Caenorhabditis elegans: one gene and its partners. The protein of the gene in region 3 interacts with the protein of the main gene of each other region in a pairwise test. Each region holds a gene or a part of one and is shown on either strand. Other genes may lie near its edges. The genes, in order: cdk-9, F01G4.6, cdc-37 and bed-1.

Region 1 (7,331 bases), on a different chromosome or scaffold from region 3:
GAATTTTCAGGTTTTTACGCTTAAAAAGTCCAATTTCTCGGACTTTTCAGGCTGGAAAACATGAAATTTCTCAGATTTTTTAGGTTAAAAAACTAGAATTTTCCGGTTTTTAGACTGAAAATCACGAAATTTTGAGATTTTTTAAGTTAAAAAACCAAAAATTTCCAGTTTTTTTGGCTGAAAACTTCGAATTTTTAGATTTTTGAGGTCGAAAACAAGGAATTTTCAGGTTTTCAGGCTGAAAATCACGAAATTTTCCAATTTTCAAGCTAAAACACGCAATTTTTCCGGTTTTTCCGGCTGAAAATCGCGGAATTTTCAGGTTTTTTTATGAGAAAAAACCAAAATTTCTCAGATTTTGAGGCTGAAAATCACAATTTCTCAGTTTTTTGGGTTTGAAAACCGGAATTTTTCGGTTTTTTCAAGCTAAAATACGCAATTTTTCAGTTTTATCCCTCTGAAATTTATGAAATTTCAGGGGTTTCAGGCTGAAAATGTCAATTTCTCGGATTTTTTAGGGTAAAAAACCAAAATTTTCCAGGTTTTCATGCTGAAAATCCCCAATTTTCAAGTTTTTCATAGCTTTTTTTCTGCTTTTTTCACGAAAATTCCCAATTTTCATGGTTTTCTTCAAATTTCAGTGGCAATTTCTTCAACTTTTATCGCTTTTTTTCCAGTTTTTCAGCGCGTTTTCAGGCTAAAAATCCCGATTTCCTCGTACTTTTTGTCCGGTTCCATGCATTGCGGCATTTGGCATTCTTGTATTAAATTGTTTAGTTCTCATCGGCTCACCGGGCTCCAGTTCCATCAACATTACACGTAGATTTGTGCCTCCGAGGTCCATTGCAACGAATTTTCCACGTTCTGCAAAAGAAAATCATTGATTTTTACTGAAAATTCGGCGGAAAGTGGCTGATTTTGGTGTAGGTGGCTTAGAAAATGGTGAACTGGGATTTCTAGGCCACCTAAAGTTAGGCCATAGTATGACAGTTGTTGTTTTGCCGCAAGAATGGAGTTCTTGGTAAAAATCTGGTGGAAAATGAGTAGGTGGCCTAGAAAAAGCTAGTTTTGGATTTCTAGGCTACCTAAAGTTAGGCCATGGTGTGAATTCATTGAAATTTACGATTTTTTCAGTAGAACATGAAATTTTCGTGAAAATTTGGCGCAAAATTGCTGCTTTTGGTGATGGTGGCCTAGAAAATGGAGGCCTGGGATTTCTAGGCCACCAAAAATTAGGCCATAGGCTGAAAATATGAAAATCAACGTTTTTTCAGCAGAACATGGAATTTTCTTGAAAATTCGGGGGAAATGAATGAGTTTTGTGTAGGTGGCCTAGAAAATGATGGGTTTGGATTTCTAGGCCACCAAAAGCTAGGCCATGGATTGAAAAATCGAATTTTTAGCCAATTTTTCGGATTTTTTGAATTTTCAGTCAAATTTTCTACGTTTTCAAGAGAAAAATCAGTGATTTTTATGAAAATTCTTGCTTTGGTGGCCTAGAAAATGGTATATTTGGATTTCTAGGCCACCAACTGGAAAGTTAGGCCACGACCGTAAAAACCCATTCTTAGGCCATTTTTTCTCGATTTTTCGATTAAAAACCTTTTCCATTCGGCAATTCTGGCACAAAAGATGGTAACATTGCAATTGTGGACCGTTCCAAGCCGGATTCCAGTCCTCGATCCATATTATCTGATAAATGGGACATCATTCGTCGGAGAGTCGTATTTGACAGCTTAAACTCGGCCATCACGGATTCCAGCTGCAAAAATATCGATTTTTAGGTGGTAAATTGGTTGGTGGCCGTGAAATTTGGGTTTCTAGGCCACCGAATGGAAAAGTTAGGCCACGGACTGATTTTTGATCAAATTTTGATATTTTTAACGGGTTTTAGAGTTAAAAAGCAGCAAATACTCAAATTGTATTTTACGGTGGCCTAGAAAACCCAAAACCGGATTTCTAGGCCACCAATTCGGAAAGTTAGGCCATCGATTCGAATTTCGGTGATTTTCGAAGATTTTCACTTTTTTGGACATTGAAAATGAAGTTAATATCAGATTTTTCTGAAAAGGTGGCCTAGCCGGATTTCGAGACCACCAATTCGAAAAGTTAGGCCATGGACTGATTTTTAGTGAAATTTTGCATTTTTCGACTATTTTTTACGACAATTTCAGCGAAATATGCCAATTTATTGTGTATTATAAGGATTTTCATGCTTAAAAAGCCATTTTCAACAGTTTTTCTCCCGAAATTTTCCGCCAAATCTCCCACCGAAATCGATTCTTCATTCAGTTTCGACGCCATTTTTGCCAGCGGAGTCGTCGGCGTCCGCGGGCTCTTTTTTCCCTTTCCATGGGCTTGTGAACGCCATATCCTGAAGAAAAATGCGGTTTTATCGATTTTATCGATTTTTCCCGGGCGGAAAAAATTGAAAAATGTGAAAAATACCGATATTGAATGCCGAGCTCGATGATACCCAGCATTTTGTGTAGATTTTTGGGCTGAAAATGTTAATTTTGACATTAAAAAATAGTGGGAAAACAGATTTTTTATTTGTTTTTAAGAAAAATAAAATAATAAAAACCACGGGTTTCAGGGGCACACACAAATTGTCAATATTTTTGAGTGAAGATTTGACGAGAAGACGAGGAAAAACATGACGAAGAGACGCAGGCGAAACCCTTCGAAATTGATGATAGAAATGCTTTTTTTTTTGCAAAATAAAATAAAATACGGAAAATGTCAAGTGTGTGCGGCGGTTTGCAAATATCGCGCGCCCGCATTGCAATTGAGCCACTCCGCCCCTTTTCTCTATTTCTCAATGTTTTTTTTTGCAATTTTCCTCTATTTTTTCGGTTTTTTCGCAATTTTTTCGCAATTTTTAATGTTTTTTTCCACAAAAATTAACAATTTTCAGAGCAAATGAGTGCTCAAAACTATCACGCCGGCCTCCACCAGTCGAGTACACAGAGGTTCGTTGGATTTTAAGCGAGAAAACCCCCGGTTTTTCGTTGATTTTCACTAGAAATTCGTGATTTTAACGTGAAAAACACCCCAGATAACTAAAAAATCCACGATTTTGATTTGCAAAACAAAAAAATCAAAAAAAAATTCGCAGAAAATTGATTTTTCGGCAGTTTTTGAGTGAATTTTCACACCGAAATTTATTAAATTAGCGATTTTAACAGCATTTTCCACTGAAATATCACCAAAAATCCAAATTTAAACCTAAATTTTCACTAAAAACCGAGTTTTCCACCTTTCTGAGCAGATATTTATCGATTTTAAGCAATTTTAGAGAGTTTTCCGCTGAAATTTTCGAAATTTTCCCCGAAAAATCGATATTTTCATATGAAAAACTATTAAAAAACTATAGTGAAAATCGCTGTTTTTTCCAACTTTCAGTTTTTTAGGCTGTTTTTTTCACTAAAAAGTCGATTTTCACCCGAAAAAACCGGGGTTTTCAACTATTTTTACTCATTTTAAAGCAATTTTAGGGTGATTTTCACTGAAATTTCTCATTTTTCCCAATAAAAATCGATATTCTCGTTGAAAAACTACGGAAAATCCCTGTTTTTCCAACTTTTTCAGTAGGTTTAGGGTGTTTTTTCACTAAAAAATCCAAATTTTTTCGATTTTCCCCTAAGAAACCCGGTTTTTCACCTATTTTTGGGTAATTTTCACTGAAATTTCCAATTTTTCCCCTCGAAAAATCGATATTTTTACGTAAAAGACACCTTTTGAACACTAATTTCCACTGGAAATCCCTGTTTTTTTCACCAAAAACCCAAATTTAAACCTAAATTTTCACTAAAAACCGGGTTTTCCATCTTTCTGAGCAGATATTTATCGATTTTAAGCAATTTTAGAGGGTTTTTCGCTGAAAATTACCTCAAAATCACTCCGAAAAATCGATATTTTCATGTGAAAACTACTGAAAATCGCTGTTTTTTCCAACATGTTCATTTTTTTGTACTAAAAAGTTTTCGTCCGAAAAAAACCGATTTTTCACCTATTTTTACTCATTTTAAAGCAATTTTAGAGTGATTTTTCCCCGAAAAATCAATATTTTTACGTAAAAAACACCTTTTTAACACTAATTTCCACTGGATTTTTTTCGGCAAAAATAATGAAAATTCACTCAAAATTCGTGATTTTAACGTGAAAAACACCCCAAAAAACCGAAAAATCCACGATTTTGATGACAAATCCCCTAAAAAGTACTCATTTCCACCCAAAAAACCGCATTTTTTCATGTCCAGACCTCCGAAGCGGCCGAACACCGAGCATGCTCAGGAGCCGCCGAAAAGGTACGGAATTTAGGATGGAAAGTCGATATTTTCCACTGCAACTTTTTCCTCACGAGGGACGAGGAAAAGTGGTTTCTAGGCCATGGCCGAGGAGCCGACAAGTTTCAGCGGCCATTTATCTTGCTTTGTTTTCCGCCTGTTTTCTTTTGTTTTTCACAGCTTTTTCCCGTTTTTTCTTAATAAAACTGATAAATAAATATTTTTTGCAGATGCTAAAACAATTTCCAAGTGAAAAAATTATGCATTCAGTGGGCAAGCAGCGGTGAAAATGGTCAATGCAATATGATGGATTACGGGAATACAAAACCCAAACTTTTCCCCAAAAATGATACATATGATGTTTAGATGGTAAAAGTACCTGATTTTCATAACGAGACCGCTGAAAAAGTTTTGAGGTTTCCAAAATTCAACTTTTTTGGTGAAAAAGTCGAGATTTTCACCAAAAAAGTCAAAACTTTTTCAGCGGTCTCGTTATGAAAATCAGGTACTTTTACCATCTAAACATCATATGTATCATTTTTGGGGAAAAGTTTGGGTTTTGTATTCCCGTAATCCATCATATTGCATTGACCACTTTCACCGCTGCTTGCCCACTGAATACATAATTTTTTTAATTGGAAATTGTTTTAGCATCTGCAAAAAGTATTTATTTATCAGTTTTATTAAGAAAAAACGGGAAAAATCGATGAAAAACGAAAGAAAACAGGCGGAAAACAAAGCAAGATAAATGGCCGCTGAAACTTGTCGGCTCCTCGGCCATGGCCTAGAAACCACTTTTCCTCGTCCCTCGTGAGGAAAAAGTTGCAGTGTAATTTCCCATTTTTCAGAGCTCTAATCGGCGGTCAAACGACTCCATCATCATCCGGCGGTGGACAAACACCAAATGGAACAAATTATGAGCTTGAAGTGAAGCAGCAACTATCGAATTATCAGAAGCTCTTCGATCAGGCAACGTATCCGTTTATTCGAGATGTTTCCACGTATGAGAAGCTGAATAAGATTGGACAGGGCACTTTTGGGCAAGTTTTGCAGGGCCGAAAATCGAGGAATTCGTGTGAAAAAATTGCTGAAAAACCGGAAAAATTCGGCGGAAAATCGGCAAAAAAACACATTTTTTAAATGGATTTTAACCGAAATTTTACTCCAAAAAACCTAAAATTCCGCGGAAAATGAAGACGTGGCCTAGAAAAATCATTTGAAAAGCTCGGTCATCATTTCTCAAGCGATGCCCTAGAAAACTCCGCTGGGAAAAACTCGGCCACTGCAAAAAACCTGTTTTTTTCCATTAAAAAACCACTCAAAAACAGCGTTTTCCATGTGGTGGCCTAGAAAAATCCTCTAAAAAAACTTCGGCCACCTCGAAAAAACCTGATTTTTTTCTGTAAAAACCGCTCAAAAACAGCGATTTTTATGTGGTGGCCTAGAAAAATCCACTAGGTATACCTCGGCCACCGCAAAAAACCTGTTTTTCAGTGAAAAACGCTCAAAAACTGCATTTTTCATGAAATGGTCTAGAAAACTCCACTAGAAAAACTCGGCCACCAGTGAAAAAACTTCGGCCACCGCAAAAAAACTTCGGCCACCGCAAAAAACCTGATTTTTTTTTCAGTAAAAACCACTCAAAAACGACGATTTTGAAGCCTAGTGGCCTTGAAAACTCTACTAGAAAAACTCGGCCACCAGTGAAAAATTTCGATTTTTGTCCATTTTCATCGGTTTTTTCTCATTTTTTAAACGTTTTTCTTGTAAATTTTTAATTTTCCCAATTTTCAGAGAAGTATTCAAAGCCCGATGCAAGAATACAGGCCGAATGGTTGCTCTAAAGAAGATTTTAATGGAAAATGAGAAGGAAGGATTCCCAATTACAGCACTACGTGAAGTTAAAATGCTCGAACAGCTTAAACATCCAAATATCACTGATCTTATCGAAGTTTGCAGTGCGAAAAGTGCGTTTTTCGCACGAAAAACGGCAGAAAACCGACCCAAAAATGTGAAAAATCAAAAAATTCACGAAATCTCACGATTTTGGCCGGAAAAAACGCCCAAAAAACTGGAATTTCATGGATTTTTGCCTGAAAAATGCAAATTTTTAGCCCCAAAAAATGGGCTGAAAATCGATTTTTCGGCAGTTTTCCGACGGAAAAATGCTCATTTTGAGTGATTTTTCATTGAAATTCACTGAATTTCTCCTGAAAATCCGGTTTTTCAAGCGATTTTAAGGCATTTTCCACTGAAATTTCATTAAAAACCAGGGGTTTCCACCTATTTTTACTCATTTTAGACCAATTTTAGGGTAATTTTCACTACAATTTCCGAAATTTTCACCGAAAAATCGATATTTTCAGGTGAAAACCACCTTTTTGAACACTATTTTCTACTGAAAATCTCTGTTTTTTCACTAAAAAATCCATATTTTCTCGATTTTCGCCCGAAAAAACTGATTTTTCACCCAATTTTACTCATTTTAGACTTATTTTAGGGTGATTTTCACTGAAATTTCCCAATTTTTCCCCAAAAATCCAAAAAATTCAGGTACTGGAACGACGGGATCCAAGGATCGTGCAACTTTCTACTTGGTAATGGCTCTTTGTGCACACGATTTGGCTGGTCTCTTATCAAATCCGAAAATTCGAATGTCTCTTGTTCATATTAAAACAATGATGAAACATTTGATGTCTGGATTGAATAAGCTTCATCGTAGTAAAATTCTTCATCGTGATATGAAAGCTGCAAATGTTCTCATTTCGAAGGATGGAATACTCAAACTTGCCGATTTTGGACTAGCTCGGCCTTTTGTGCAGAGAGAAAGTGTGTGGTTTTCGGCGAAAAATTGAAAAAATCGACCTGAAAATCGTGAAAAAATTGAATATTTTTACCTAAAAACCATGAAAAATTCCATTTTTTCAACTAAAATTCTTTAAATTATAGCTCAAGCTGACTTTTCCTCGTCGGAAAATTGTGCGAAAAATGGTTTTCCTAGCGTTTTCGGCACAATTTTCAAATAAAAACGGCTCCTAGAAC
Region 2 (6,327 bases), on a different chromosome or scaffold from region 3:
CAGGATACCAATTGTGCGGTCTTGTGAGATCGGAAATGATTCGCAAATCGTCCATCGCTTCCAAGTGGGGAAAAACCTCAAAATTTCAGATAAACTCTCAATTAAGATAGTTTTCGGAAACCTGTTTGGCATGATCTAAAAAGAACGGATACAGCATTTCACAGTCTTTTGTTCCTTTTGAAATATCGCTTAATAGAATAAGAAGTCCAGGATCAACAGAATTTAGGTCTTCTGGTGTACAGTACTCTCTGAATGATTTGAAAGATCGCATGAATAATTTATCATTGATCCCGTTTTCTTTGGCAAGTTGGCGTACCATTGGACGGCGCATAAATTCATCAAGGGACATGTGAATGTTTGTCTGAAAGTTGAAAAATGAGCTTTGGAAGATGCTGGAGTTGGCATTTTTGATGAGATCGAATAAGTTCTTACATTATCTAGTGATCCAATCCATTCTCCCATTCCCGCAGCTGTTTGTGTTACATGTTTAACTTTTCGAGGTTCGACAATATCCTCAATAGTCGCAGTTTTTCTCACAGAATTCCTTTTTCTTCTAGAATTCATTGCTGGAAATCTGGAGGAGGATGGGGTTGAGCTGGTTGAACATCTTTGAGTTAGGCCTCCCAGAACTCGTAAAACACCAGACGCCCTTCTCATCTGTAATATTTGATAGAAGTATGCACACGCTGAAATAGAAATAGAAATAACGGAAATCCAGAAATTGTTTTGAAAACGTTTATACGTACGCCAGAAGAGATTCATTCGAAAAAATGATGCAAACGTAAACAATAAAGCAATTTTACACACAAAATAGAAATTATTCCCGAGGGTTCAGCGTCTACTTTGAATCAGCTCGCGAAGATTCGTTTCAGCCTCCACCAATCCTTTCTCCAAATAGTCTTTCTGCTTCTCGATAGCTTCAATTTTCTCTCTGAAAATGGGATTGGTTGTGTAAACTGTTTTGAATGGAAGAATGAAATTACTTTGACTGTTTAGCTTCAGCTTCATGTCTGGAAATTTCAGCTGGTTTGTCGGTCAGCAGGAACATACGCCCAACAGATCGATAGTACTTGAGGTTTTCATCCAAATCCACCAAGTTCTTTTTTGTGCTCTCTGAGATCCTCATTTTCTGAAAAATTTAGTTATTAGAAGCGTTACTTAAGAGAAAAAGTTATACTTTTATGTTTTTAAATATTAAAAATGCTGAGTGTTTTTTAATGGATGTGTGTAATGAAAAAATACCGATGTACAGCAAAAACTTTTTTGGCAAAGCTAGATTGTAGTTGTGACTAGCTGTGACTATTTGTGACTTAGGCACAAGCTAAGAGGTGAAACTCGCTAGTTTCTATGTTATCAAGTTATGATGTCATACATTTCTCATAATATTTAAAGTATATCAAATTTCAATATTTAATATTCAAAAATACTCACCTGATAGTTAACTTTCTTATTTTGTTCTCCTTGAACTATCCGCATTCGTGTTTCATTGGTTTTGAATTGCAAGTCGCGAAACGCTTTTGAGATCTCCTCGTCGGCCATTTCTGAAGTTGTAATATGAAAGTTGATTTAATAATTGAGACAAAAAAGAGTTGCGTTAAAAGAAATCACGAGAAAAGCAAAGAAAACAAATTGATTATCTTTGAAAAGTTGATTTGGAATAAACTTTTGAGAGATGGATTATTTATCCACAAATTTTAATTATTTTATGATTTATATATGTTAAAAAATGAGATACACCTTTTAAATGATAAAATAATAATGCTAGAAAACAGAATTTTAGATGTTGTAGTCATATTTTAAAATAAAAATGGAAAAATCGAGTAGAAATGTTTGCTGGCGCATTGCCAGAATCGAGTTAGATGTGCAGGTCATATAGCAAAGTGACGGGAGACGACTACGGTAGGGGCCGACCATGGCTCAGAGAACGTCCATGATATCTTTTGAGGCGGTTTGCAGGCCCGCCAGTGATAAATTATCAGTTATTCTACGAATTTCTTGAATTTTGAGTTTTATTGTAGATTTTTGAAGCATTATATTGCAAAATCATCTGTGATATTTTTGTTAGTGTCTCTTTTACATTTTTATACTTCCCGCATACTAATTTTTCGTGTGAATATAAATGTTTGGCAATAATTTCGGTAATTTCCAGGTAACCACCATGAGCGTGTTCAGCCAGCTTGCCGAATCATCGAAGCAGAACCCATTCAGCTTGCCGGTCAGGTCGGGTAACTGCGCCAGTGCTGTTTCAGCTCGTAAGTATTAATTGAATTTAAAAAAAAAACTTAATATATTAGCTAGCATAATATTGTCAGTAAAATAGTAAATTCACGTCCTACTTAGATTACTTTCTAGAATTTAGTTTTTTATTAGGAGGGGTAATGACAATCCGAATTTTTCTTTACCTGCATTCTCTGTTCCCACTTCCCGTGCAGCGCATGTGCACACGTAAATTGACGAGGGCTGCGAGAGGCACGGCGGAGATAGTATCTCGCGAAAAGAGAATCGAGACAGACTATTCCCTCGTTTTGCAAAACGTGGCAACCGCGTTTTAAAAAGACATAGAATCGAATATCTGTCTGCCGTTCGACGTCGTTCACACGTAAATTTCACGTGGATCATTTACTATCTTCCACGTTATTTCTATGCTACCACATGCCTAGGCGGGATTATAAGCATTGTTATAATCGCTTATCAATGACGTCCGAAACGGAAGAGAAGGCTATGCCATTCATAGCTCGAGCCAAATCTCCTCATCTCCAAACTGGAAGGGCTGGCATTATAGTGATATTATGCATGTGGATTATAATTTATTTTTGGGGTGTTACCCAACTAGTTGACGGGTTAATGGACTGGCTGGCGTACGGGTCCACTCAATATGTTGCACGGGTCGCGGTTGGTGTTGTCACCACTGTAGCTTCTTCATATGAAGGTTTATCGCTCGAACTATACAATTTAATGTTTTTTTGTTACAGCTGGACAAGTTGAATTCGGAAGTGGCAAGTACTACGCTTACTGTGCTCTCGGAGGAGTTCTTTCTTGTGGAATCACCCACACTGCCATCGTACCACTTGATCTTGTCAAGTGCAGAATTCAGGTATTACGAGAAAAATCTATTCAACTTAATTGTTTTCTTTTAGGTGAATCCAGAGAAGTACACCGGTATTGCTACTGGTTTCCGGACCACCATCGCCGAGGAAGGAGCTCGTGCTCTTGTAAAGGGATGGGCCCCAACCCTCCTTGGATACTCCGCACAAGGACTTGGAAAATTCGGATTCTACGAGATCTTCAAGAACGTCTACGCTGACATGCTCGGAGAAGAGAACGCATATCTCTACAGAACCTCTCTTTACCTCGCTGCTTCCGCCTCAGCTGAGTTCTTCGCTGATATCCTTCTCGCCCCAATGGAAGCCACCAAGGTCCGTATCCAAACCTCACCAGGAGCTCCACCAACTCTTCGTGGATGTGCACCAATGATCTACAAGGCCGAAGGACTCACCGGATTTTACAAGGGACTTCCACCACTCTGGATGAGACAGATTCCATACACCATGATGAAGTTCGCTTGCTTCGAGAAGACCGTTGAGGCCCTTTACCAATACGTTGTTCCAAAGCCAAGAGCAGAGTGCTCCAAGGCTGAACAACTTGTCGTCACGTTTGTTGCTGGATATATCGCCGGAGTTTTCTGCGCCATCGTATCTCACCCAGCCGACACTGTTGTTTCCAAGCTTAACCAAGACTCTCAAGCCACCGCCGGAGGAATCCTCAAGAAACTTGGTTTCGCCGGAGTCTGGAAGGGACTTGTGCCACGTATTATCATGATCGGAACCCTCACAGCTCTTCAATGGTTCATCTATGATTCTGTTAAAGTGAGTTTATATCGGTATTATTTTTCTTAATTAATAAAAAAAATTCAGGTCGCCCTCAACCTTCCACGCCCACCACCACCAGAGATGCCAGCTTCCCTCAAGGCCAAGCTTGCCGCTCAACAATAATTGCACTGACTAGATAATGATTTTGATTTCCTTCCTTAATCGATTGTTCTAGCCATTGTATTAATTTGAAATCCACCCAATTTGTCTCTTTTCTCTCGGTCCTACTCTCACTCTTAATTTTTTATAACTAATTAGTGCACCATGCTCGGTTTTAGTGTGATTATCATTTCCTTCATTTGTTTCAAGTTGTCCTTCAATCCCGATGTCTTCTTTTTTGAAAGATGAGTTCTCTGGCAGTGTTTTTATAAATCTCCTCCGAACAAAACCGATCGAAGAATATTGTATACGTTGGTGTTAATTTGTGTGTGTTCTCAAGAAAAGACCTCAATTGGGTAGTTCAATTAATACAGTCCACCCTCGCTCGTTTTACCGTTGAATTCCAATAAAAAAAATTGATAATAACGTGATTTTCAGAATTTATGGATAAAATTACTAAAAACGTGGTTTTAATCAGGACATTAGAAGCAAAAATTCTTCTCGTCCGGTTTGTTTCCTGAGATATTAATATTTTATACGGAAACTTAGTTTCTAGAACATTTTCCTTCACACGTCTGTTGCTTCTTGATGTTGCTTTTTCAATTTACTTATGGAATATTTGGACACCAAATTGGGAATGGACAGTCAATGAATTTTGGGATCAAACTGGAAATGTTGCTGATAATTTGAACGGAGTAATAATATTTTGAACTTTATGCTCTTCAATAAGAATTTTCAGACAATAACATGGCTGAGAAGTAATCCAGCTGGACTTAAACTTAATACTCCCGTAAATGAAACTCTTGCATGGTTCTTCACTTATCACATTTATCTATGGACAAGTATGCTCTTTTGTTTCCAGAAATTCGCATTCAACTTTCATAATGATTTTTCAGCTTTCATTGGATTTCTTCGTTCTGATGCATTCTTCCGGTTCATCGCATACTCTTTGATCGGTGGCATTTCAACATTTTCTGCGATGGTTTACGATTTCTCGCAAATATTTTTCTTGCACTTCAATTGTTTTGATGCCTACGCTACCAAGTAATCGGGAACTTCAATTGATTTTAAAAGATAATTAATTTTTCAGATTGTGCTACCTTTGTTACTACACTTTAACAGTTCTTTGGAGCCTTGTGAGGGGAAAGAAGTGGAATCCATTGAGAGAACGAAAAGACACTGTAAGAGTTTTCTGGTATACCTATGTCATTTTGTATAAATATTTTCAGGTAATCCTCGACACTCGTCAGCAATTCCTGGCAACTTCTCTGTTCGTCATCCTTCTTTTCATTCTTCCTACAATTTTTGTCTACTTCGTCGTCTTCCGATGTCTTCGACTCGCTGTATCGGCACTTCAAACCGTGCTCTATTTCTTCGCAACGTGGCCATTTCAACTGTTTGCTCTTGAAAAACATTTAGCTGAAAAATACGGAAAACCAGCGGATGCACAAAACGAAGCATTGGCTGAGAAGAAAACAAAATCCCAAAACTGAATTTGGATATATTCAATTTTGATATCTTCGGGTTTTGTTCTCATCATGAGTTTTTTCGTTGTATATGAAAATAAAATTTTGCCAATTTTCCGTTGGTCACTTTAAATTTCTAGTTGTATCACTAACTTCCCTATTTCCAAATGGGAAGCTTGATTGAAAAATAACATCTTTTCGTGAAAATTAAAAACTATTTTTTTGAATTTCGTGCGTGCAAAATACCAAATACGCAAACACCTCAAATGACGACAAAAATTGGAGGTATTTTTTAATTAAATTAAATTGTATAAATTGACAAATAATATATTAAGGAAATTACGAGAATAAATGGCGGATATCGAAGCCGTATAAATGGGAAATCAGGGGTCATGGGACATGCTTGCGTGACAAAACGCGGAAACTTTCGCTGAGTGGCGACTCAGCTATCAATAAAACATATAACTATTAGGGAAAAATGCGGAAGGATTGCGAATAAAACATTTTAGAATTGGACAGGGGAGGGAATACTATAATCTTGAATGAAAAAAAAGTCAGGACGGGAACTTTTGCATTAAACATGGGGGGCATTTGAAAGAAAAAGATTTTGCGAGGAATTTTTCAACTATCCACGCGTCTTCCTTTCGATTGTGGTGGGAGCAGCACTCTTGGAGTCTCATTTATTCTTCTCGGCTCCGGGGTAGTCGGATCGTTGCTTGTAGCACTGACTCCTCCGAATTGACGACTCTGTGGGACACGTCGCGGTTGGATGGTGCTTTCTGGGCCACGTGGACGAAGCTGGCCAGCTGCTACAACATCTAGAGATTTCTCATGATTTGATTGATTAAGGCGAATACTCATTTTTCAAAACAAAATAAAGCTAATTTAAAACA
Region 3 (7,720 bases):
TGATTCGACAATCAGGCTGAGGTCCAGTCTCAATGACAGATATTGTAAGAATCTTCACGATCCTTGTACTCTCCCACCGTCATACAAGAGCATTACTTTCGTATAGTCTTACAGGTCCAGCAAGTGATGTCGTAGCGGATAACATCACGGTTATCCGGCCAGAACCGCTGCCCAAGACAACGACTAGGCCTGCCAACGTTTGGAGGTCACGATGCAAGCGCGCCCCACCGGACGGCGCGCGGATCTGAATTGCCGGCGCCAACTCTAATTGTCATCATTCTCGACTTTTCTTGGCCCCGCCCAATTCCCCTATATAAGGAGCCGGAAACGCTCATTCTAGGTCTTCTCTAATTCCTTTTACTTGTGTTACTTATCGTCCTTTTCCCCTCCTTACATGTCCCATTAACTCGGTGATTTCTCTATTAATTTATCCTTAATAAACCGTAATAACCTCAAAACCTCCAACTCTTATTATTCTTTAAAGAATTAATTTGGAAGAAACCCCAAAATAACAGCTTCAAGTTGACTCCCAAACCTTATGTTATTTCAGATTCTCGATCTCGCTACTCTCAGCAAAAGCGAAAACTGCGGTTGCCAGAGTCAACGGGAACCACGAAAGTTTGACATTCTCTGATTCGACAATCAGGCTGAGGTCCAGTCTCAATGACAGATATTTATTCATATTTAAAGAAAATCCACCGAGGGTGGTAGCTAGAAGGAATATGCGAGGATCTGAAGACGAAATCGAGATTCCTCACCTCACACTTATCAAGTTCCTGGACCACATCCACGAGGTTTTGCATCAGAACCGGCAAATCCACATTAACCTCGAAAATGGGATGAATGAAGAGATAAAAACGATTTGTTCTCTCTTTGAGAACAGGAAGATCGCGAGCTGCAGCACCACATCCACGGAAGTTCAGGGGCACCATCTCTTCGGGACTCATCCAGAGAACCTGGAGATTGTCGTGGTCCCAATAAGAAAAGAACTCTTGGTTCAAAATTATGAGGAGCTGAAAGTCACCAATCTCACACTGAACGAGGTGTTCTTGTCAAATAGTCGAACGCTTCGTTCATTGCACCACTCAATGACTGCAAAGGATGTCAACTTGTTCTTGAAGATCTGGATTCAGAACTCACAGCTGAGAATCAGTGATCTTGTTGTAGATGGTCTGAATATTGAGCATCCTGTACATGGAACTATTCTCCGCGGAATAGACTTTACTAGATACGAAGATCCTCTGGTCGTGGATGATGGAATGGTTCAACACGTCCAAATTGTGTGCAAAAGAGGGATCAAGGCAAAGGTTTCCCTCACCAGAACTACTGTTCGATTCGTCCGGCTGGCCGACGATGAGTAAGCAGCGACTTTTGATCATCTTTCACTGCAAATGCCTTCAAATACCTGTGCAATTATTTTTTTCGGTTGAGCTATATGGTTAAATGGTTGAGGTGATGAAATAAATATGTTCTTGTATTTTAAATTATGCAATAAAATGGCTCAAGAAATCGAATTACACAACCGTAAAAATGGAAGTAGAGGGGGGACATTGGGATAAAACATGACTGAATAAATGAAAATTTCGGGTTAGAATGCTTGTAGAAATGCACCGGATGGGGAATCACATAAATTATTTAAAGTTCTCCAGTGGCGCGGGCCTTGTAGTGCTGGAAGACACGATAGAGGGTGTGGCTCAGGTTGTTCCAGTAGTTGTAGGCCTGCTTCATGTAGAATTGAATGACCGAGAGTGGCTCGCCGAGTGAGATTCCAGAGGTGACGTGGACGGTGGAGGAGAGTGGGAGGAAGCCGCGACCTGAAAAATATAAAAATTCATTAGAAACGAGGGGATTTTTATATGGGTCTGGTTGACTACAAACTACAAAATTATATTTAGCAGACCAAGCGATTTCAGTTCGAAATTGGTCTGCTAGACTACAAACTACAAAATTATATTTAGCAGACCCAAGTGATTTCAATTCGAAATTGGTCTGCTAGACTACAAACTACAAAACTGTATTTAGCAGACCATGCGATTTCAGTTCGAAATTGGTCTGCTAGACTACAAACTACAAAATTATATTTAGCAGACCAAGTGATTTGATTTCGAAATTGGTCTGCTAGACTACAAACTACAAAATTATATTTAGCAGACCCAGGTGATTTTAATTCGAAATTGGTCTGCCAGACTCAAAAAAAAACGAATTTTCCTTGATTTTCGGTGTAATTTACCGTAGCACGCGACGTAGGTGTCCTTCTCGAAGCTGTACACGTGGGACTCGAACTGTCCGTGCCTGAAAGCGGCTCCCGAAGCAAAGTTCTCCGACGTCTCGTCCTGAGTTCCGTCATTGAATCGGCTGACTTTTCCTTTCAACACGGTGCACGTCGTATTTGCCCAATGGAGCCCCGGGCGTCCTGAAGTTGGGAACGGAGCGGAGAAGGCGGCGGCGAACTCGGTGAAAGCGGTCAGCATTGGGTACATCTGGAAAATTCATTAAATTTAAGATTTTTTTTCGATTTTTCCTGTTCCTCACCCTTAAAGTGAGGCCTCCCAACTGAATAGCGTGCCATTCGAAGTGACTTGGCATGATTGGCTCGTAATAAGTGCGCATTCCAGACGTCAATGTGGAAATTGACTGGGAGATTGTTGGAGCAGCTGAAAATATACAATATATTAAAATTGCGGTATTTTCGCAGAAAAATATGTTTTTCCTCACCAGCAGCCTTTCCAGCGATAGTCTTGAACTGCTTCGGCGAGATGTCATAAGACTTCCAGCGGAGGCCAAATTGAGCAGCCTGGAAGACTGCGTAGAAGAGCAGAAGATACCGAAGCTTTGAGGTGAGAAGAGCCATTTTCACGTGTTGAACTACCCTGAAAACATGGAAATTTGGAAATTTTGCGTGAAAAAAAAAGGAAATACAGTCATTTCGCGAGTTTTCAAGAGGGACAGCGAGTGCGAAGAAGAAAAATTGTGAGTTTAACATTGATTTTTTGAAATTTCAGATGTTTTTTCGCGGAAAAATCAATGGAAATGCTTGAAAAATGCAAGAAATGGCGCTGCAGCGCGCTGAAAATTAAAAAAATCAGCGAAAAAGGAATTGTGTGCAAACACCGTGACGCAGAAGCACACAGAAAACACCATATCTGACGCGCATTGCCACAGAAGGACCGAGAAGAAAAACAAAAGTCATTTTTCGCCTTTCTCATGTTATTTTCGGGGTTTCCTTCGATTTTTTCCACTTTTAGAAGTCTAAATTTAATTCTACAGGCTTTTAAAAATCAATTTGTCGGAGTTTTGGGCCAAAAAAAAGGCCGAAATCCGCTAGAAAACGTAGTATTTCTATTTGAGAAATTTTGAAGAAATTTCTCGAAAATTGCTCAGCAAATAGTTAATTCCACGTAAATCCTTTGAAACATCATTATAATGCCACGTTTTCTTCATGAAATTTCTGTTTTCGTAATTTCACGCGGATTATCCTCGTTGTCGTGGCAACCGAGTCGGAATTTTCCAGCGATTATCAGTTTTCTCTCGCTTTTCCTGCTAATTCCTTATTTTCCACTCAATTTTCTCGATTTTCAGCTCAAAAATGCCAATCGACTACTCCAAATGGAAGGATATCGAGGTTTCCGACGACGAGGACGACACTCACCCGAACATTGACACTCCGTCGCTCTTCAGATGGCGCCATCAAGCTCGTTTGGAGCGAATGGCCGAGAAGAAGATGGAACAGGAGAAAATCGATAAGGAAAAGGGCACGACGAGCAAGAAGATGGAGGAGCTCGAGAAGAAGCTTGCCGCAGCCGATGTCACTGACAAGTCGGATATTCAGAAGCAAATCGACGAGGTGAAGGCGCAAGAAGAAGCCTGGCGCAAGAAGGAGGCCGAACTCGAGGAGAAAGAGCGTCTGGAGCCATGGAACGTCGACACGATCGGTCATGAGGCGTTCAGCACGTCGAGGATCAATAAGGTTTTGAAGATTTTTCTGTGCAAATTGATTAATTCTGTAATTTCAGATCACCGAGAAGAAGCCGCAAGCTCCCAAAACCGATGAGGAGGACACTCATGCGATGAGCACTTTCTTCGAGACTCACGAGAGCCTTCTGGAGAAGATGGCCGTGCTCAAGAACGGAGCCAAGTCGACGGAGCTGTTCCTGGCCGAGCATCCGCATATGGCGTCGGAGTACACTGCAAATTGGCTCACAATTGAGGCTCTCAACGCCGCCATCGATTTTAATGAGGAGAAAATGAAGACGATGGCTGAGCAATGCATCATCATTCAATATCTTCTGGAGCTCTCGAAATCGCTGAACGCAGTCGCCACGAATACCACCGTCCAGAAGCAATTCTTCAAGAAGTTCGAAGCCGCCGAGCCGGTCTACATGAAGCACTATCAGGATGAGGTGAAGGCGTTCGAGGATCGTCTCAGAACACGTGCGCAGACGAAGAGAGACGCCGCGATGGAGGAGGCTGAAGCCGAGGAGAAAGCCGAACGAATGAAGAGTGCTCCGGGAGGAATCGATCCACAGGAAGTGTTCGAGCAGCTGCCGGAGGAGATGAGAAAGTGCTTTGAGGCACATGATATCGAGGCGTTGAAGGGTGTCGCCCAGAAAATGGATGAAGAGGTGAATATTTGGGTCTGCTAAATTGAAATTTGTAGTTTGTAGTCTAGCAGACCAAGTTTCTTCCAAATGGCATTGGTCTGCTAAATCGGAATTTGTAGTTTGTAGTCTAGCAGACCAAGGTTCTTCAAAATGGCATTGGTCTGCTAAATCGAAATGTGTAGTTTGTAGACTAGCAGACCCAAAGTTTTCAATTTTCGCAATGAAAATTGCAAAAATTGATAAATTTTCAATTTTTCAGCGGAAAAATGAATATTTTTCAAATAGAAATTAGCAAAAATTCAGGTTTTTTGCGATTTTTAGTGGAAAATTGTGCGATTTTTGTGTTTTAAGACAAAAGTGCGTATTTTAATATAAAATCCTGAAAAAATCTGAACTTTCGGGGGAAAATTGATCTATTTTCAAATTTTTGAGTGAATTAACATTGTATTCCAAAAAAAAACGAATCAAAAATCAAAATTTTAAGCTGAAAACAGGCATTTTTTAATTTTGGTCTGCTAAATCGAGTTTTGTAGTTTGTAGTCTAGCAGACCAAATTTCTTCAAAACCACCTATGGTCTGCTAAATCGAAATTAGTAGTTTGTAGGCTATTATTTTTAGCCAAATTCATCTAATTTCAACATCCAAAAATCCAAATTTTCAGGTCTTCAAGTACCATTTCGATCGATGCATCGCCTCTGGACTCTGGGTGCCCGGAAAAGCTGACGACGACGACGACGATGAGGAAGCTGCTCCAGCCGAGGAAGAGCCAACAACCAGCTCCTAAATTTCCCCATTATTCCCCGTTTGAAAGTTCCCCTGATCTACTTGTTTTTTCTGCACCGCACTTTACTTTTTCCCCAAGATTCACTGAAAATGGCCCAATTATTTCTTTATTTATTCTACACCCCCCACGACATTTACTGTTTATTTTCCCTCTCGAACACCTGTAAAAAAGTTTTTTTTTGCTTCGAGAATCGTTCCACTTCGTATTCAAAAATTCCAATTCGGAATAGCATAAAGATTATCATCATCAACTTTCTTCTTATTGTGTTTATTCGTTTTTTTTTCTCACGATTTTTTGAAAGTGATGTTTTGTAAGCAAACGTTAGTCTCCGCCTGACAACTATAAAGTTCAATAATGGATGTATTATCGGTCATTTTTTGGCTGAAAATGGTAAATTCGCGGCTTATTCTACTAGTTTTTGTCCCATTTTCCTTGGCACAATTGAGCTTGTATGGAAGTGAGTCTAGGATGGGTCTGCTAGCCTACAAACTTCAAATTTTGATTTAGCAGACCCAATAACGTGCCATTTCGGCGTGATCTACGTAGATCTACAAAAAATGCGGGAGTTGAGGCGCAGAGTTCTCAACTGATTTTGCCTGCTGACGTCACATTTTAGGGCGAAAAATTCCCGCATTTTTTGTAGATCAAACCGTGATGGGAAGAGCCTGACACCACGTGACACAAATGATTTCTTAAATAAAAATAATTTCCAGATTGGACCCCAACTGTCATTCGTTACTGTGAGACGCTCCAATCAGCTACAGTACCCCTGACTGGAGGTGTCACTTGTGGATCTTCGTCGTATAATGTGATGAATGCTTGTTAGTTATTGATTTTCTGATTTAAAAATAATTTAATCTGCAATTTCAGAGTTTTTGGAAAAGTTCAAAAAATTCAGAAAGAATTAATTTTTTTTTCAAACATTTCAATTTTTATTTTGAGAAATGTTATTAGAATGCGTATTGCACAACATATTTGACGCGCAAAATATCTCGTAGCGAAAACTACGGTAATTCTTTAAATGACTACTGTAGCGCCAGGTGTCGATTTACGGGCTCGATTTTTGAAATTAATTTATTTTCGAATTATTTTCTTATTTTTTACTTAGTTTAAATATTCTATAAATTATTTTTATTAATTTCAAAAATTGAGCCCGTAAATCGACACCTTGCGCTACAGTAGTCATTTAAAGAATTACTGTAGTTTTCGCTTCGAGATATTTTGCGCGTCAAATATGTTGTGCAGTACGCATGTGATCCCATAATATGTTCTAATTTAAAATCGATATTTTATAGTTTTCACACTTCCAATCAGTTCTACACTTTCACTTGGACTTATCAATGTCGGATGGATCACCTCGTAATTTTTTTTCAATTTTTTTCAGCTTGAAAAAATTTGAACAATTTTCAGGGAAGCTCTAAAATCTCAATCCGGATTCTGGAAGACATGCAAGCCATATTTGGTTCGACTTTTTGATGGGATATATACGGATACTAGTGAGGAAACTTATTTTCTTGCTGAAAATCGAGTCCAGCTCACCGAGACCTTTTAAATGACCCCCATATTGACTAGAATCCCTCAATTTTAAATTTTGGAGGGTCTCGGCACGAAAAAGGGGGGGGGCGTACTGTAGCTTTTCGTGGTGGAACCCAATGAAATTCGAAAAGAAGGGATGCTTGCCATTATGGGGGTCATTTGAGAGCTTTCGAATTATTTTGCACAATCAAATTTTTTTTTAAGTTGGTGGCCTAGAAATTTGAAATTCTAGGCCACCAACTTCAAAGCTTTGTAACTTTGCCGAAAATCGATATTTTTTAGTTTTTAAAATAGGATTTTGTAGGAAAAATGTCAAATTTTTCACCTTGATTATTAAAAAGTTTAAATTTTCAGCAAATGCCTGTGCACTGATGAACAATCCTCCGTCAGGCCTTCCAAATTGCACAGAGGACCAGACTAACCTTCTATACCGTAGTGGAAGTGGTTACTGTATGAAAGAAAAAGTTTGTGGAGCATTTGCCACAATTGACTTCCTGGCGGGACCTGATAATTCTTGTAAGTGGCGAAACTTTTTTTTCTGAATTTTTATACAATTTTTTCGACGTAATCAGCTTGCCGAGAGCTTTTTAATGAGACCCATACTGACCAAATTTCCTAAGTTTAGGACCTACCACGATACCATCCAGGGTTACTGTAGACAGTCTGTAGTATTTCGTGACGAGACCCATCAAAGTTAAAATTAAGAGATTCTAGTCAATATGGGTGTTATTTCGAAGCTCTTGTCATGCTGAATTTGAATTTTTTCAGGTGGTGACCTAGAAACCCCGAAAGTGGCCTA
Region 4 (10,234 bases), on a different chromosome or scaffold from region 3:
TTTCGCAATTTTTAGTGAAAAAACGCAGTATTTTCTGAATTTTTGAGCCAAAATCTAAGTATTCGGCAGAAATTCCGAATTTTTCCCAAAATATTGAGCACTCTATGAAGAAAAAATCGATTTAGGGCGCATTTTCGATGAAAATTCCTGTCTTTCTATCAATTTTTCGCATTTTTCCTCGGTTTTCCACATACTTCTGGATCCAAACCAGCTCCTTGCTCTCTCAAAAGCTCAAAAAGACTATCGGAGAATTGTTTCGACTCTTTCGGGTAATGTTTCGCCAATCCGGACAGAAAAAGCACCGAATCGACGAGAGATTGCATTTCTTGACGAGATTGTTCGGGTTGCAAGTGGAGAAGTTTCATTGTTTGAACGAAATAGTTGAATTGTTCGAGGAATTCCTGCAAAAAATTAATAAATTAGAGCTAAAATCGATAAATTTCATGAAAAAGTGTAGTTTGTAGTCGAAAAATGTATGTATTTTTAATTTTTATTTGAAAAAAGTGATGTTTTAGCAGAAAATTGGCAAAATTTGGTGTTAGCAGCGCCCAAAAACTTGTAGTTTGTAGTCTTAGCAGCGCCCAAAATCTTGTAGTTTGTAGTCTTAGCAGCGCCCAAAATTGAATTAGCAGCGCCCAAAATCTTGTAGTTTGTAGTCTTAGCAGCGCCCAAAATCTTGTAGTTTGTAGTCTTAGCAGCGCCCAAAATCGAATTTTTCGTCGTTTTTTACTCAATTTTAACCCAAAATTCGCGAATTTTCTCGTTTTTTCTCGAATTTCGCACCTCTTTATAGGATTCCGGATCTTTTCGAATAATTTCTTGCATCAATCCCAAATTCCTTTCGGACATTGTGAAGCGTGAAGCTTTTCCAGAATTGGAGCCCTCCGTCGGAGCATTGCTTTTTCCATTTTTTTTGCCGACTTTTCCGATCCTTTTTTCGCCCTTTCCGGGTGATTTTGACACTTTACCCATTTTTTTGGCTGAAAATGTGTGGAGTTTAAGGTTGAAAAATTAGGAAAACAGTGGAAAAAGTAAGATTTCTGGCTGAAAACCAGTAAAAAGACGATAAAATCAATAAATAAACCCGTTTTATTAAAATTTTAGTACTATTTACACATTTTTAGATTCAAAATCCAAATATTTCCGCTCAAAATCCGAATTTCCACGTGGCTCGAGCTCCATTAGCTGAAAATTCGAATTTTTACTCATTTTTCCTTCAGAAAATCGATTAAAACCTTCGTTTTCATCTTTAAAAACGATTTTTCTTTATATTTCCCATCTTCCGGCTCTTCTGACATCACAACTCCGTCGAGCAGGTCCCGGGCGCCGATTTTCCTGAATTTCCCGTCTTTTGGGTATAAATTCACCGAGTTTTCGAATAAATCCTTTAATAATACCTGAAATTAGCTCAAAAATTAAAGATTTCGGCAAAAAATCACCACTTACGTTAGTGGCAAGCTCGAGAAGCCTCGAAATATATGAAATTTCAGAGAAATTTATAATTTTCGGGCATTCCGAACCGAATAAATCGATTATTTTCAGCAAGAACATGGAATTCGCAAAGGTTTGCTGATCTGACGGCAGAAATTGGAAAGCGTGGAGAAATTTGAAGAGAAAATCGGGAAATTGCGCCGAAATTTGCGGATTTTCACGATTTACCTGAAAATTTTGACGTTTTTCTTCAAATTTTGATGAATTTCACACTCACCTCCTTGCCAGCTTCATATGTATCAAGTTTTTGCATCGAAATCTTCACAATCAACCGGAAAACGCGCTCTTTTTCATCGCCGCTTCGAATTTCCTGGGATATTTTGTGCCATGAGCGATATATATTGTCAGAACTGAATTCTAAAATCAAAAATTAAATTTTTCAATCATTTTAAGCACTTACGATCGAAAATTTCACGAAAAATGGGGGCAATATCCATGAAAATAGGTGAGAAATCAGAGAAATTCGTCGAAAAATGAAGTGTCGATTTACGGTAAACAAGGCGCGTTGGCGGGATTTCGGAGCGTCGTTGCGTGGGAATTTAAATCAGATTAATCGGGAAACTCTATTTTTTATTGATTTTCCGCTGAATTCAATGAAATATTAAAAAAAATTGATTTATTTCGGATGAGAAAATTGTACAGAAAATCAATAAAAGAGAAATCGGGATAAACTTTTGTGGAAAATAGATTAAAAATTGGTTATTCTTCGTGCTCTTGGGCCTCATCTTGCTCCTCGCCGAGTTCTCGTTCCAATTTTTTGATTTCCAGCTCCAGTTTTCTAGATTTCATTCGATAATATGTTGTCATGGCGTCTTCCTGCAAGAAAAATGGGGTTAGCAGCGCCCAAAAACTTGTAGTTTGTAGTCTTGGCAGCGCCCAAAATTGAATTAGCAGCGCCCAAAATCTTGTAATTTGTAGTCTTGGCAGCGCCCAAAATTGAATTAGCAGCGCCCAAAATCTTGTAGTTTGTAGTCTTAGCAGCGCCCAAAATTGAATTAGCAGCGCCCAAACTTGTAGTTTGTAGTCTTAGCAGTGCCCAAAATCTTGTAGTTTGTAGTTTTAGCAGCGCCCAAAATTGAATTAGCAGCGCCCAAAATCTTGTAGTTTGTAGTCTTGGCAGCGCCCAAAATTGAATTAGCAGCGCCCAAATCTTGTAGTTTGTGGTCTAAGCAGCGCCCAAAATTGAATTAGCAGCGCCCAAAATCTTGTAGTTTGTAGTCTTAGCAGCGCCCAAAATTGAATTAGCAGCGCCCAAACTTGTAGTTTGTAGTCTTAGCAGCGCCCAAAATTGAATTAGCAGCGCCCAAACTTGTAGTTTGTAGTCTTAGCAGCGCCCAAAATTGAATTAGCAGCGCCCAAACTTGTAGTTTGTAGTCTTAGCAGCGCCCAAAATTGAATTAGCAGCGCCCAAACTTGTAGTTTGTAGTCTTAGCAGCGCCCAAAATCTTGTAGTTTGTAGTTTTAGCAGCGCCCAAAATCTTGTAGTTTGTAGTCTTGGCAGCGCCCAAAATTGAATTAGCAGCGCCCAAATCGTGTAGTTTGTAGTTTAGCAGCGCCCAAAAATGAATTAGCAGCGCCCAAAATCTTGTAGTTTGTAGTCTAAGCTGCGCCTAAAATTGAATTAGCAGCGCCCAAAATCTTGTAGTTTGTAGTTTTAGCAGCGCCCAATATCTTGTAGTTTATAGTCTTAGCAGCGCCCAAAATTAAATTAGCAGCGCCCAAAATCTTGTAGTTTGTAGCCTAAGCAGCGCACTCATTTTTTCGCGGTTTTGGGTCATTTTTCGTGATTTTTTCGATTTTCCAAGTGAAAAAATCGATTTTCAAGTATTTTTTGAGCCAAAAATTCAAATTTTGAAAATCCCCTACTCTGGCAATTGTCGAATGCAGTGATTGATTATACAATACTTTTGCCTCAAAATCCAAAATTTGCACCGCCTGTGCATTATATTTTGCCGGCATCATTGGCGTCGCTGCTGCTGCTGCTGACGTGGCAGAGGCAACAGCTGATGACGTCATCGCCGGGATCTGGGGCGCCGCGGCTGATGATGACGTGGCAGTGCTCGATGGAAGAGGTGGCCGACGAATTGCAGAGAGAATCGATAGGGAGACTGAAAAAAAAGTTGTAGTCTTTGTAGTCTTTGTAGTATTTGTAGTCTCTTATTAAAACCTACATTTTCCACTGTTTAATGCTGGATTTTCAGTCAATTTCTGCTCATCGGCTCTTCGCTTCTTGGTTTGTGCTCCGCCAGAGCTTGAGCTCACTTGTTTCTAAAAATTTATTGATTTTTCCGGAAATTTATTGATTTTTCCGGAAATTTATTGATTTTTTCGGAAATTTATTGACTTTTTTGGGAATTTATTGATTTTTTTGGGAATTTATTGATTTTTTTGGGAATTTATTGATTTTTCTGAAAATTTGTTGATTTTTCTGAATATTCATTGATTTTTCTGAAAATTTATTGATTTTTCTGAAAATTTATTGATTTTTCTGAATGTTCACTGATTTTTCTGGAAATTTATTGATTTTTCTGGAATTTCATTGATTTTTCTGAAAATTTATTGATTTTTCTGAATATTCATTGATTTTTCTGAAAATTTATTGATTTTTTTGGAATTTATTGATTTTCTTGGGAATTTATAGATTTTTCTGAAAATTTATTGATTTTTTTGGGAATTTATTGATTTTCTTGGGAATTTATTGATTTTTCTGGAATTTCATTGATTTTTCTGAAAATTTATTGATTTTTTTGGAATTTATTGATTTTCTTGGGAATTTATAGATTTTTCTGAAAATTTATTGATTTTTCTGAAAATTTATTAATTTTTTTGGGAATTTATTGATTTTCTTGGGAATTTATCGATTTTTCTGCAAATTGTACCTCCTCATCCTGCTGAATTGGCGCGGCGATCGCTATAACCTCTTCACACCGCCCATCATCAATTCCGAGTAGTTTTTTGAGCGCCTGGTCGGGTTCTGGCTCCAAGAGCCCGTTTTGTTCGGTTTCCTGGAACTTTTGCAAAAATATTAAAATATTTCTACACATTAATAGAAGAAATTACCTGTTGCAAATTCCTTATTACTGCGTCGATTTCCGAATCTGCACGGCTTTGCGGGTCAACAACTAACATGTGTTGTGGAGAATCGTGATCCGGTAAGCCACCACGTGGCGCTGAAAATTTGAATGGAAATTGTGGGTCTCGCCACGAAATTTCGTAAAAAAAGTTACAGTAGTAAGTAAACTCACCAGAATCATCGACATTTAAAAACTGTTCCAGAAGGTTATCCATATACGATTTGGTGTCTTCTGTCACTATTGTATAATCTGAAAATTTACAAAAAATCGGTAATTTTCACACTGCAAAAGCCAGAAAATCGATATTTTCCCCTAAAAATCAATACAAAACCCATACCTTCCATCTTCTTCCGTTTCCGCCGGGCTACTGGTGGCGGATTTTCGGGGTCAAAATTGATGGCGGCCGGGTGTATTGTTTTCAAATGACGTAATAGTGCTGATGTTCCACCTGAAAATTTAAAAAAAAAGTAAAAAATATGCGAAAAATCGTTGAAAAACCTTAAAATTGAGGTTAGCAGCGCCCAATTTATGTAGTTTGTAGTCTTAGCAGCGCCCAAAATCTTGTAGTTTGTAGTCTTAGCAGCGCCCAAAATCTTGTAGTTTGTAGTCTTAGCAGCGCCCAAAATTTTGTAGTTTGTAGTCTTAGCAGCGCCCAAAAATTGAATTAGCAGCGCCCAAAATCTTGTAGTTTGTAGTGTTAGCAGCGTCCAAAATTTTGTAGTTTGTAGTCTTAGCAGCGCCCAAAATTTTGTAGTTTGTAGTCTTAGCAGCGCCCAAAATTGAATTAGCAGCGCCCAAAATCCTGTAGTTTGTAGTCTTAGCAGCGCCCAAAATCTTGTAGTTTGTAGTCTTAGCAGCGCCCAAAATTGAATTAGCAGCGCCCAAAATTTTGTAGTTTGTAGTCTTAGCAGCGCCCAAAATTTTGTAGTTTGTAGTCTTAGCAGCGCCCAAAATTGAATTAGCAGCGCCCAAAATCCTGTAGTTTGTAGTCTTAGCAGCGCCCAAAATCTTGTAGTTTGTAGTCTTAGCAGCGCCCAAAATTGAATTAGCAGCGCCCAAAATTTTGTAGTTTGTAGTCTAAGCAGCGCCCAAAATTGAATTAGCAGCGCCTAAAATCTTGTAGTTTGTAGTCTTAGCAGCGCCCAAAATTTTGTAGTTTGTAGTCTTAGCAGCGCCCAAAATTGAATTAGCAGCGCCCAAAATCCTGTAGTTTGTAGTCTTAGCAGCGCCCAAAATCTTGTAGTTTGTAGTCTTAGCAGCGCCCAAAATTGAATTAGCAGCGCCCAAAATCTTGTAGTTTGTAGTCTTAGCAGCGCCCAAAATTGAATTAGCAGCGCCCAAAATTTTGTAGTTTGTAGTCTTAGCAGCGCCCAAAATTTTGTAGTTTGTAGTCTTAGCAGCGCCCAAAATTGAATTAGCAGCGCCCAAAATCCTGTAGTTTGTAGTCTTAGCAGCGCCCAAAATCTTGTAGTTTGTAGTCTTAGCAGCGCCTAAAATTTTGTAGTTTGTAGTCTTAGCAGCGCCCAAAATCTTGTAGTTTGTAGTCTTAGCAGCGCCCAAAATCTTGTAGTTTGTAGTCTAAGCAGCGCCCAAAATCTTGTAGTTTGTAGTGTTAGCAGCGTCCAAAATTTCGTAGTTTGTAGCTTTAGCAGCGCCCAAAATTTAATTAGCAGCGCCCAAAATCTTGTAGTTTGTAGTCTAAGCAGCGCCCAAAATCTTGTAGTTTGTAGTCTAAGCAGCGCCCAAAATCTTGTAGTTTGTAGTGTTAGCAGCGTCCAAAATTTTGTAGTTTGTAGCTTTAGCAGCGCCCAAAATCTTGTAGTTTGTAGTGTTAGCAGCGTCCAAAATTTTGTAGTTTGTAGTCTTAGCAGCGCCCAAAATCTTGTAGTTTGTAGTCTTAGCAGCGCCCAAAATTGAATTAGCAGCGCCCAAAATCTTGTAGTTTGTAGTCTTAGCAGCGCCCAAAATTGAATTAGCAGCGCCCAAAATTTTGTAGTTTGTAGTCTTAGCAGCGCCCAAAATTTTGTAGTTTGTAGTCTTAGCAGCGCCCAAAATTGAATTAGCAGCGCCCAAAATCCTGTAGTTTGTAGTCTTAGCAGCGCCCAAAATCTTGTAGTTTGTAGTCTTAGCAGCGCCTAAAATTTTGTAGTTTGTAGTCTTAGCAGCGCCCAAAATCTTGTAGTTTGTAGTCTTAGCAGCGCCCAAAATCTTGTAGTTTGTAGTCTAAGCAGCGCCCAAAATCTTGTAGTTTGTAGTGTTAGCAGCGTCCAAAATTTCGTAGTTTGTAGCTTTAGCAGCGCCCAAAATTGAATTAGCAGCGCCCAAAATCTTGTAGTTTGTAGTCTAAGCAGCGCCCAAAATCTTGTAGTTTGTAGTCTAAGCAGCGCCCAAAATCTTGTAGTTTGTAGTGTTAGCAGCGTCCAAAATTTTGTAGTTTGTAGCTTTAGCAGCGCCCAAAATCTTGTAGTTTGTAGTCTTAGCAGCGCCCAAAATCTTGTAGTTTGTAGTGTTAGCAGCGCCTTTTTTTTCGATTTTCTGTCATTTTTTGCTCAAATTGAATCATTTTTTTCGATTTTTTTTTGCAATTCTGTAGTTTTAGTGTCATTTTTCTTCAAATTTTCTCTAAAACCTTGTAGTTTGTAGTCAAACGTCACCTTTAACTTGAAATTCAGCAGCACAATAATTACAGGCGGCTCGTTGGCTTTCAGCCACCCACGTAATGTGCTCCCACACAATAGACCGGCCTTTTGACGACGGAAACCACGCCGGCTTCGTTTCCAACGGAATTTCCGATAAATCTACGGGGTTTTCAGGATTTTCAGCTAAATTTTCAGATTCTGGTGCTCCTGGAGCAATTATGTAGTTAAATTCGTCGGGTTCTAGCTTGATGTCTTTTTGAGTGGATTCCATTTCTGAAAGTTTGAATATTTTTCAAGAAAAAAAAAGGTTTTGAGTGGAAAAATCGATTTTTTGCGGGATATGTATTTATTTTTTACATTTTCCTAAAAAAAATAAAAAATAAAATCATATTTTTCGACATTTTTTACAAAAAAAATCAAGGAAACCGTTGAAAATCAGTTTAAAAACTCAAAAATCGATATGCAAAACAAAAAAGTGGGTTACTGTAGGTTTAACGGCGCATCACTCAAAATTTTGCTGGAGTCTTGGAAAATATTTGTATTTTAGCGATTTTCAATGATTTTTCATCATTTTTATGCCAAAAAATTGAGAAAAAAGCGTAAAAAGCAACGAAAATTTTTTAAAAAAGCCCAAAAATCATCTTTTGCAGAAAAGAAAACCTATTTTGCGGTGGTTTTAAAAGCGCATAGGCTAAAAATTTTGCAGAAAAAACTTGGAAAAATGTTAAAATGTGCTGAAATTGAATAAATTTTCATTTTTAAAAAATTTTACCGAAAAATTTGCGAAAAAACAATAAAAACCAACAAAAAATCGCAAAATTGGGTTACGGTCGGTTTAAAGGCGCATAACTCGAATAATTTTAGGAAAATTGTGAATTTTCGGGATTTTTTTACTTTTTACCGTTAAAAGTCAAGAAAAAACAATAAAAATCGGCGATTTTTTGCAAAAAGAAAAGAGTTACTGTAGGTTTAAAGGCGCATAACTCGAAAAATTTGAGAAAAAGCGATTTTTTTTTGTTTTTTTTTCTTCGCATTTTCTTATTAATTTTTAATATTATTACTATTCCAACCTTATTATACATTTGCACAAAAATTATTCCAAAACCTCTAAAATTGGTAAAAACGGCAAAAAAAAGGTATAAGCAAGAGGCGAAAAAGGCGGGAAGAATGAAGGATTAGCCGAGGCCTTTGGGCAGGAGACACCCCCCAACGAGATAGCACACAAACATAAGAGACCGCAGACGGCCCAATCAATTCGGGCCCGAGACAGCCTCCCCGCCTCACGCGGCCTTCCTAGAGACAATGGGGAAGCCGGAGGGTGTTAGACGGGTAGACGGGCTGAGTGTGTGGGGGGGGGGGGGTACATAGTTGTTGTCTTCATGGCCTCGAGAGGAGTGTCACACATCTGCCTCGATAGCTCAGTTGGGAGAGCGCACGACTGAAGATCGTGAGGTCACCAGTTCGATCCTGGTTCGGGGCAATTCTTTTTTGTTTTTTTTTAAAATTAAAATTCAACTATACGCCTTTAAACATACCGTATTCCTGTATTCCTTTAATATTTGGCAAAAGTCGTTTTTCTCAAATTCTACTGGAAAAGCCAATCAAGCGGGCTGAAATAAACATTTTGCAACATTTTTTGCCAGCTATGCGCCTTCAAACCTACCGTAACCTTTTATTTTTGCAAAAAAATCAATTTTTCTTGTTTTGGCTCATTTTTACAGTTTTGTTCTGGATTTTTCACATGAAAAACGATAAATATCAGTGCAAAAAGCATGTTTCTACATTTTAGCCCAAAAAATTGTGCAATGCGCCTTTAAAGCTACCGTAACCTTTCAGTATTTACGAAAAATTGTTTTTTCCTTGTTTTGTGCTTAATTTTCCGGTGTTTCCCTTATATTTCACATGAAAACGTTGAAATGTTTTTCTCAACAACTTTCTCAACTTTTTGCCCAAAAATTTGTGTGATGCGCCTTTAAATCTACTGTAACCTTTTAAATTTTCGAAAAATCGATTTTTTTTCTGTTTTTGGGTTAATTTTTCTGTTTTTTCTTGATTTTTCACTGAAAATTGACAAAAAATTGAAGAAACATACAGAAAAACTAAATTTTTTGCTTTTTAACGCAAAAATTTGTGTGATGCGCCTTTAAACCTACCGTAACCTTTTAATTTAAAAAAAAAATCAATTTTTCTCAGTTTTTGGAGCAAATTTTTTGGTTTTTCCCAGATTTTTCACATGAAAAACTCTAAACCGTAGGGCAAAATCATGTTTCTCCATTTTTAGCCCAAAAAATTGTGCAATGCGCCTTTAAACCTACCGTAACCATTAAATTTTTCGGAAAATCGTTTTTTCTCTGCTGTTGGCTCAATTTTTTGGTTTTCTTTCGTTTTTTCGCAAAAAATGAACAAAAATTTCTAAAAATTGGTTGAAAATGCCAGAAAAACCTGATTTCTCAATTTTTGGCTATATGCGCCTTTAAAGCTTCCGTAACCCAATTTTAAATCGATTTTTTCGCTGAAACATTCGAAATTTCTGTTCAATATTGCCATTTTAGGCTTCTAAACAATAAATTTGTCAAAATGTGAGAGAGCTGGCTCCCCGAGAGACGCAGAGAAACGGAGACGGTCACCATGGTGACAGCTGCCTCAGTTGCACGGCCATTTTGGGATTTTTGAGCCAAAATTTTAGAATTTTGATGTATACTGTAGTTTGTAGTTTGTAGTTTGTAGTTTTTGTAGTTATGATAATATAACATGCTCAATATTTTGATTTTGGAAAAAAGTCCCGAAAAGTTTTGGAAATTTTTTTTTGCACAAAAAATTTCGTGTTTTTTTCGAAATTTTTTTTTTGAAAATTGTTTATTTTTTAACGTCAAATTATGTTTTTTAACAGGAAATGCTCCCAAAAAACGAAAAAGAAGCATTAGTCGATGTTGATGATAGGATTGCAATGTTGGAGAGGCGGCTGGACAACGCGAAGGCCGCGAGGGTAAGGACTAAAACTCTTATATCTTGAAAACCAATAGTGCTATC

Evidence for each region.
Region 1: the proteins of cdc-37 (region 3) and cdk-9 interact in a two-hybrid assay, tested with the Caenorhabditis elegans proteins (one large-scale study listed by BioGRID).
Region 2: the proteins of cdc-37 (region 3) and F01G4.6 interact in a two-hybrid assay, tested with the Caenorhabditis elegans proteins (one large-scale study listed by BioGRID).
Region 4: the proteins of cdc-37 (region 3) and bed-1 interact in a two-hybrid assay, tested with the Caenorhabditis elegans proteins (one large-scale study listed by BioGRID).

What each region holds. Positions count from the first base shown.
Region 1 is NC_003279.8:11,320,610-11,327,940, forward strand, and holds the start of cdk-9 (putative cyclin-dependent kinase 9), read left to right. Parts: upstream 1-2,917; 5' UTR 2,918-2,922; coding exon 2,923-2,972; intron 2,973-4,262; coding exon 4,263-4,310; intron 4,311-5,137; coding exon 5,138-5,329; intron 5,330-6,083; coding exon 6,084-6,256; intron 6,257-6,842; coding exon 6,843-7,118; intron 7,119-7,331. Other genes in the region: hxk-2 (Phosphotransferase), read right to left, coding at 722-864, 1,603-1,762, 2,272-2,374, 2,449-2,483. UniProt on the Caenorhabditis elegans protein: Essential member of the cyclin-dependent kinase pair (CDK9/cyclin-T) complex, also called positive transcription elongation factor B (P-TEFb), which is proposed to facilitate the transition from abortive to production elongation by phosphorylating the CTD (C-terminal domain) of the large subunit of RNA polymerase II (RNAP II) and spt-5.
Region 2 is NC_003282.8:11,145,327-11,151,653, reverse strand, and holds F01G4.6 (Phosphate carrier protein, mitochondrial), read left to right. Parts: upstream 1-2,452; 5' UTR 2,453-2,694; coding exon 2,695-2,929; intron 2,930-2,972; coding exon 2,973-3,094; intron 3,095-3,137; coding exon 3,138-3,866; intron 3,867-3,914; coding exon 3,915-3,992; downstream 3,993-6,327. Other genes in the region: C08F8.2 (ATP-dependent RNA helicase SUV3 homolog, mitochondrial), read right to left, coding at 1-76, 122-361, 433-657; pfd-1 (putative prefoldin subunit 1), read right to left, coding at 832-931, 984-1,129, 1,432-1,539; pigq-1 (PMT_2 domain-containing protein), read left to right, coding at 4,412-4,476, 4,525-4,663, 4,708-4,810, 4,865-5,012, 5,059-5,149, 5,198-5,461; F01G4.4 (CNH domain-containing protein), read right to left, coding at 6,056-6,252. UniProt on the Caenorhabditis elegans protein: Transport of phosphate groups from the cytosol to the mitochondrial matrix.
Region 3 is NC_003280.10:575,752-583,471, reverse strand, and holds cdc-37 (Hsp90 chaperone protein kinase-targeting subunit), read left to right. Parts: upstream 1-2,878; coding exon 2,879-2,970; intron 2,971-3,579; coding exon 3,580-3,967; intron 3,968-4,013; coding exon 4,014-4,622; intron 4,623-4,757; exon of another isoform or gene 4,758-4,811; intron 4,812-5,262; coding exon 5,263-5,385; downstream 5,386-7,720. Other genes in the region: W08F4.12 (F-box domain-containing protein), read left to right, coding at 1-44, 115-248; fbxb-14 (F-box associated domain-containing protein), read left to right, coding at 723-1,361; W08F4.3 (Sigma non-opioid intracellular receptor 1), read right to left, coding at 1,636-1,814, 2,231-2,480, 2,533-2,654, 2,716-2,851; W08F4.7 (CW domain-containing protein), read left to right, coding at 5,740-5,842, 6,099-6,206, 6,681-6,744, 6,796-6,881, 7,276-7,437.
Region 4 is NC_003283.11:19,117,433-19,127,666, forward strand, and holds bed-1 (BED-type domain-containing protein), read right to left. Parts: upstream 7,482-10,234; 5' UTR 7,476-7,481; coding exon 7,220-7,475; intron 5,014-7,219; coding exon 4,903-5,013; intron 4,815-4,902; coding exon 4,737-4,814; intron 4,662-4,736; coding exon 4,552-4,661; intron 4,503-4,551; coding exon 4,371-4,502; intron 3,760-4,370; coding exon 3,663-3,759; intron 3,600-3,662; coding exon 3,358-3,599; intron 2,308-3,357; coding exon 2,191-2,307; 3' UTR 2,095-2,190; downstream 1-2,094. Other genes in the region: pro-3 (Protein SDA1 homolog), read right to left, coding at 195-401, 784-972; Y39B6A.13 (RsbRD_N domain-containing protein), read right to left, coding at 1,111-1,185, 1,236-1,397, 1,447-1,659, 1,709-1,848, 1,892-1,928; dyf-17 (Verprolin), read left to right, coding at 10,098-10,190.